2 linked regions of the Caenorhabditis elegans genome follow. The protein of the gene in region 1 purifies or fractionates together with the protein of each later gene. This does not show direct contact. Each region holds a gene or a part of one and is shown on either strand. Other genes may lie near its edges. The genes, in order: col-138 and ZK686.5.

Region 1 (3,340 bases):
GGTGGAACTGAAGGAGGGGCTCTTTTTTTTCAATGGATTGCGCATCGCTTAGCAAGTACGAAGATGTTTCGTGTTATAAAAGAGATGAAATGGGACGATTTGTGAGTACATTCCAGCCAGCCTCTTCATTAATTTTATTTTTTTGGATTTTCTAGCGGTTACTTTAGATGTATTCTTGTTACAGCTGAAACAGTTTTTTTTAATTGAAGCACCTTCATCAATTGTGCACTAGGTTTTTATAGCAAATGTGTAGTCATAAGTTTGCTGAAACAGCAATCATCCAAATTGTTTTCCTTTCCGTAACTTGTGATGAATTATTAAAACGGTGAAAATTTTTCTGAATGAATAGTTTTCAAAAGTTTTAGTATTGAAACATTTTTTTCATTAGCCAGAATATTTTTGAGAAAACTATTCCAAATTCATAAAATTATTGAAACAGTAACAATTTTTGTAACTTTTTTTTATTTGACAATCATTAGTTCAATTTGTGTAAAGAAACCGTTTTTTGGGCTACTGTCACAGTACTGAAACGTAGAATTGTCTCAACAATTTCAAATATTCACTAGAATAAAGCTTTCTGATTTTATTTTTATTGAGTGAATATCGGGTAGAAACAGTAAAATGCATTCATAAATTCATTTTTTTAATTAAAAAGTTGAGAACACTTTTTTGTTAGACTGGTGAAACAGTAGCATTTTCAAAAATCCATTCACTAGGAAAATTTTCGATTAATTATAATTACTATTGCAGTATGTTCATTTAAACATTTGCATTATTGCAGCAATATTCCACGACGATACGATTTTCGATTTTGTCTAGTTTCTATGAAGTTATTCAATGAGAACCGCTAAAATTGTAAAATTAATAAGAAAAATTAAAATTCGGAAAATTTTTCAACAGTTCAATTTTTTCCTCAAAAATTTTGATTATGCAGGTTTTCGATTTCTTGATAATTAATTTTAAATTTTTTTCAGAAAAGAATCAGAGGATTCATTAGAATCAAAAGTTGCAATTTTAGTGCAGTTAGTGAAAATTTATTTATTATTTATTTTTAAGTGCAGTTAGTGAAACAGTAAATTTTTTTCCAAAAAAATTCTTCAGTAAATCGTTGATTTCTTTAAAAAAATGACTGGTAGCAGTACTTTATTTCATTTTCAACAATACGTTAAAACAAGGAACAATTTTGAAAAATTCGTTAAAAGCAGAAAAGGAAGCGTTTTTCTACTTTAAATTTTTTTACTGTTTCAGCAACTGAATTTAATGATTTAATGATTTTCGAGTTACTCTAGCATTTGTATCAGTCATTTTAAATTTGAAAGATGTACTTTCGTGCATCGAAGGGAACTATTTATTTAGAATTAATGTAACAGTGATTATGTAAAATATTATTTAAGTAAGTTTATAGCAACAAACTGATTGATAGTTAACAATTTAATTTGGCGTATTAGTGAAGCAGTACGTTTTTTTTTCATTGAAAAAGTAATAGGCGCTTGTCATCTACTCCATTCAGAAATTAGAAAACCCAGAAAATGTCGGTTGCCATTTTTTGGCCTGATTATGCAACAAGTAACATTGTACAAGTAGAGTTCACAATCAAAAGCTTCAAAATTTTGAAAAATTTCTGAAACAGTGATAACTTTTTTCAGTTTTCTTTTTCTAATTTTCTGACCTGACCCCTCCCACCCTCATCAGGTTTTTCCAGAACCTTCCACCATGGACGAGGACCGTCAGTCTGTCAAGAAATTCGCCTTCTTCGGAATCGCCGCCTCGACGGTCGCCACTCTTACAGTGGTCATGGCAGTTCCAATGCTTTGCCTCTACCTTCAGAACATTCAATCTGGACTTCAAGACGATTTGACTTTCTGCAAGTCCCGTACAGACTCTCTCCGCGGAGAGTACACTCGGCTCGCCGCTTACAGAGACTCTGCTGTGGCCACCCTTCGCCAGAAGCGTTCCACCAACGAGAAGTGCTGCTCTTGCGGAACTGGAACCGCCGGACCAGTTGGAGCACCGGGAGATGATGGAGCTCCAGGATCCGACGGAAAGGCTGGAAAGCCTGGAGTCAACGGAAAGGATGCCGATGCCCAGCAGATCCCAACCGCCGACGATTTCTGCTTTGAGTGTGAGCCATCTCCAGTTGGACCACCAGGACCACCAGGACCAAAGGGACCAGACGGAGAGTCCGGAGCACCAGGAGAGCCAGGGCCAGCCGGCCGTCCAGGAAACAAGGGAGCTCCAGGACCAGCCGGACCAGTCGGAGCCGATGGAGAGCCAGGAGAGCTTGGAGCACCAGGAGCACCAGGAGTTCAGCGTACCGTCGCATCGCCAGTCGGAGAGCCAGGAGAGCCAGGAGAGCAAGGACCAAAGGGAGAAGCCGGACAAGATGGACGTCCAGGACAGCCAGGAAGACAAGGACCACAAGGAGAGCCAGGACAAAACGGAAAGGATGGAGAGCCAGGAAAGGACGGAGTCGACGGAGAGCCAGGAAAGCCAGGAGAGGACGGACCAAAGGGATCCTGCGATCATTGTCCACCACCAAGAACTGCTCCAGGATATTAAGGAGGAGTTTCGCGGATTTTCTAACTTATTGCCTCTTGTTCTACTCGGGTTTTGCACCGATTTTGTATAAACGACATAATTTTCTTTTGAATTTTTATATTTTAGCAGCCGACGTTTAAATGGAAAGATTAGAAACATTTCACGAGTGGCTAAGTCGAACATTTTAAGTATAAGACAAGAAACCTTACTGGCGATATTTTTGGCAAGACGAACAAATAATTACTCTCGGTGGAAATTTTTGCAGCCGACACTTTGTGGGAGAAAAACCACCCGTAAGATGTCGGCTTCTAGAGTTTCAAGCTTCTTGCACTCGTGTACAGTTAATTCCCACCTCTTAATCGAATCATACTCTGCCAGACATCTTAGCTGATCCAATTGTCTGTCCAAATGATCAATCTTCTCCGAAAGCTGTTCACTCTCCCGCTGACGCTTCCGCAACTCTTTTTTCATATCTCGCACGGCGTCTCCTAAAACAAAAGTGGCTTTTAAAGCGTTAATTTCTCAATTCACTCGCCATAATATCCCAGAAATTTAGCCAGGTTATCCAATGACTCGTGATTAAAAAAGAAGCCAGTGGACATTTGATTTTGGCTCATCGCCAACGGATTCGGCTCCTGGCCAGTGACTGTGTGACGGCGAGTGAGGTGGGGCTGGCTCCCGGAAGCTGGAATGCTCGAAGAGCATTGGCCCGAAAAGCCCATTGAAGCCGGGCCGGAGGAAATCTGGAAAATTAAGTTTCAAAGCGGATGTAAGCAGTAGAGTTGAATTGTTCGTCATAACG
Region 2 (3,929 bases), on another chromosome or scaffold:
TACAAGCGAGAGAATATAAGGTCGACTTGGATTCGAAAGTTGGAAAATCTGTAGTCATCACTAAGGCAACGCCGTCGGCGGAAACTGGAGGATTCTATTGTGACGTTTGCGATTGCGTCGTGAAAGATTCCATCAACTTTTTGGATCACATTAATGGAAAAAATCATCAAAGAAACATCGGAATGTCTATGAAAACTAAAAAGAGCACAGTTGCTGATGTCAGAGAACGATTCAAATTAATGAAAGATAAAAGTGAGTTCAAAAAAAGTAATCAGCTCATTTAAACTTTGCATTGTTTCAGAAGAAAGAGAAAAGAAAGAGGCACAAGTGGAACAGTTGCTAGAGGATGTTCAAGAAGAAGAGGCGAGAATGGCTGATTTCAAAAAGGACAAGAAAACAGACAACAGAAAACGAAAGAGGGACACCAGAAAAGATGAAGAAGAAGACGACGACGAAGACGATAGCGGACTTGATCCTGAAATTCGCGCAATGATGGGCTTTTCTGGATTTTCCACCAGTAAACGATGATTATCAAAAATATGATCTCATTTTTATACATAATAAAATTCATTGACGTTTTTTTTTCATTTATGTCTTCAAAGCAGTTCCGATTTTCTGCATTACTATTATCTGAATACTCTGTAATTTGTTCCTTGTTTTTATTTTCACAATTTTTCAGATGAGAACAATGGTATTACTGTTCTTCATGCTGCTCGCCGTCTACGAGTCGGCTCAGCAGCAAACCCTCGAGGATAAAGTTCAAAACCTTGTCGATCTCACCTCAAGACAGTCCATAGTCAAGTTCAATATGGACAAATGGAAGACTCTTGTTCGAATGCAACCAAGAAATTACTCAATGATTGTCATGTTCACTGCACTTTCCCCAGGTGTTCAATGCCCAATTTGCAAGTAAGTTAACTTCTAATTGGAGCAATCGGACAATTAAAGTAAAATTTCTCCCCGAAATAATGATTATATTTAGAACGTTCATAATACAACGTACAAATTTTAATTATTTGGTTTTCTAGACCGGCCTACGATGAATTCATGATTGTCGCCAACTCTCACCGCTACACCAGCTCCGAGGGAGATCGTCGTAAAGTATTCTTTGGAATTGTTGACTATGAAGATGCTCCACAAATCTTCCAACAAATGAACCTCAACACAGCTCCTATTCTCTACCATTTCGGACCAAAGCTTGGTGCCAAGAAGCGTCCAGAGCAAATGGACTTCCAGAGACAAGGATTCGATGCTGATGCTATTGGACGATTTGTTGCAGATCAGACAGAAGTTCATGTTCGTGTTATCCGCCCACCAAACTATACTGCTCCAGTCGTAATTGCTCTTTTTGTTGCACTGCTCCTTGGAATGTTGTACATGAAGAGAAACAGTTTGGACTTCCTCTTCAATAGGACTGTGTGGGGATTTGTCTGCCTCGCTATCACTTTCATCTTCATGTCCGGACAAATGTGGAATCATATTCGTGGACCACCATTCATGATTACCAACCCGAACACCAAAGAACCATCATTCATTCACGGATCCACTCAATTCCAACTCATCGCTGAAACTTACATCGTCGGACTTTTGTATGCTTTGATCGCTATTGGATTCATTTGTGTCAATGAAGCAGCCGACCAGTCGAACAGCAAAGATAGAAAGAATGCTGGAAAGAAGCTGAACCCACTTTCCTTGTTGAATATCCCTACAAACAGTAAGTTTGAATAAATTTTTAAAAAAATTTGAAGATAATAAATAGGTATTTTCCAAACAGTAATAATTATTGCAAGTTCCAGAACTATCATAATATCATATTTTCAGCTTTGGCAATCGCTGGACTTGTGTGCATTTGCGTCTTCTTCTCGTTCCTTCTGTCTGTCTTCCGCTCCAAATATCGTGGATACCCATACTCATTCCTCTTCGCCTAAACGTTTCTTCCTGCCAGATTTCTAAATATTTAATAAGTTATTGTATTATCTCCTCTCTCTCTCTCCCCAAAGGTTTACTGTTTTTTAATTACTTGTACCGAAACTAGAAGGTGTTTTCCCCTTCTCCAAAGAAGCTTTTTGTTGTTGGGTTTGTGTGATATTATGTACTTCCTTTTTCTCTCAAAATTCCGGATTGAATTGTAATTTAAGTTAAATAGAAAAGATAAATATTAATTTATTCAGTATACTATCGTGAACTCTAAATGCCCTAGTTTGTTCAGAATTTTCTAAAAATCTCACGTGGTTTCATGAGTTGGATTTCATGTGAAGAAATGACAATGGACAGTCGTGGTGGAAACGATGACCGATCTGGATATAGAAATTGTGGATGATATAAAGAAACTTCAGTGAGTTTAATCTGATTTCAGATTGGTTGAGAAATGAATTTTCAGCATATACAATGAATATTTGTTGAATCGTGAAACTCTAAAAGCAACAAAAGAGCTTTGTGAACTAATGAGCCATGAATCTGTAGGATGCTCTTGTTTCCAGGTTTCTTTCTGTTCATCGGAGATACGTTGAACCTAAAAATATTTTAGGAATTCCCAGTTGAAAAAGCTCCCGAAATGCCAGATTTCACAATAATCCAACCAGATCGGAAATTTGATGGTGATAATGGTATTGTCTAGGAGTTTTTTTAAAGTATTTTCAAAATTTTTCAGCAGCGGCAGTAGCTGGAATATTTGTACGCAGCTCTACTTCGTCATCATTTCCTAGTGCATCATCCTATATTGCAGCCAAGAAACGAAAAAATGTAGATAATACAAGTACTCGAAAACCATATTCTTACAAGGACCGAAAACGGAAAAATACAGAAGAGATCAGAAATATTAAGAAAAAATTATTTATGGATTTAGGAATTGTTCGAACAAATTGTGGCATTGATGTGAGTGAATTTTGAAATTAAAAAAAAATTAAAAATTGTATTTTAGAACGAGAAGCAGGATCGAGAGAAGGCGATGAAGCGGAAAGTGACAGAAACAATTGTAACAACCTACTGTGAGCTCTGTGAGCAGAATTTCTCGAGTTCTAAAATGTTGCTTCTTCATCGCGGAAAAGTTCACAATACTCCATATATCGAATGCCATCTATGCATGAAGCTCTTCTCTCAAACAATTCAATTTAATCGGCACATGAAAACTCATTACGGACCGAACGCTAAAATTTATGTTCAATGTGAGCTCTGTGATAGACAATTCAAGGACAAGCAATCGTTGAGAACCCACTGGGATGTATCACATGGTTCCGGAGATAACCAAGCAGTATTGGCATGAACTCGTAGATTATTTTTATTTCGTGTAAAATTTTTTGTGACCTATGCAGACTCTAATACGTTTTTTATTCAATAAACTCGAATTATATCTTTAAATTTGTTCTGATATCTGCAGTAGACACAACCCATTGAACAACTGACAGTTAAGTAAACAATACAATGCAAAATTAATTTATTAAAAACAATTGAATTCGATGGAATTTATTATTTGTATAATATATTCGAACGAATGCAATTGAATAAATTAAATTTTTTTTCTAAAAATCGATCGCGAGCAAAAATAGCAACGCTCCGAAATCCCGCAACGCGCGCTGTTTATCGTAAATGCACACCAATTTTTCTCCGCTGTTCTTATTATTATATATTAATTTTTCTCCGCTGTCCTTATTTTTTCAACGCATTTTTTGGTTCATATTTTAATTTCTCCAGATAATGAAAAGAAAAAACCAAAAAGAAGACAGCGACACGGAAAACGATGATGAGGTATTTTCATTTTACAAAAAGTTTACATTTGACTTATTTGTATTAAATATTCAGATTGAGCCAGCAAACGGAGACGGAATTGAACAAGAAATGAATAGAGTAACAAACGGAAATGAGGATGATGAATCAGTGAGTTTTAATCAATTTGTTTTCTTGGCGAAATTGAAAGCGAATTTTATAAAAAA

The links.
Region 2: the proteins of col-138 (region 1) and ZK686.5 fractionate together in Caenorhabditis elegans (co-fractionation; one large-scale study listed by BioGRID). This does not show direct contact.

Annotation. Positions count from the first base shown.
Region 1 is NC_003282.8:17,182,103-17,185,442, reverse strand, and holds col-138 (Nematode cuticle collagen N-terminal domain-containing protein), read left to right. Parts: upstream 1-1,713; coding exon 1,714-2,559; downstream 2,560-3,340. Other genes in the region: C52D10.3 (DUF4140 domain-containing protein), read right to left, coding at 2,891-3,026, 3,074-3,281.
Region 2 is NC_003281.10:7,765,814-7,769,742, reverse strand, and holds ZK686.5 (Putative zinc finger protein ZK686.5), read left to right. Parts: upstream 1-2,227; 5' UTR 2,228-2,288; coding exon 2,289-2,335; intron 2,336-2,380; coding exon 2,381-2,480; intron 2,481-2,527; coding exon 2,528-2,606; intron 2,607-2,650; coding exon 2,651-2,874; intron 2,875-2,920; coding exon 2,921-3,262; 3' UTR 3,263-3,354; downstream 3,355-3,929. Other genes in the region: Putative zinc finger matrin-type protein snu-23, read left to right, coding at 1-252, 302-528; ZK686.3 (putative dolichyl-diphosphooligosaccharide--protein glycosyltransferase subunit 3), read left to right, coding at 707-909, 1,029-1,714, 1,822-1,928; Putative ATP-dependent RNA helicase ZK686.2, read left to right, coding at 3,694-3,744, 3,799-3,873.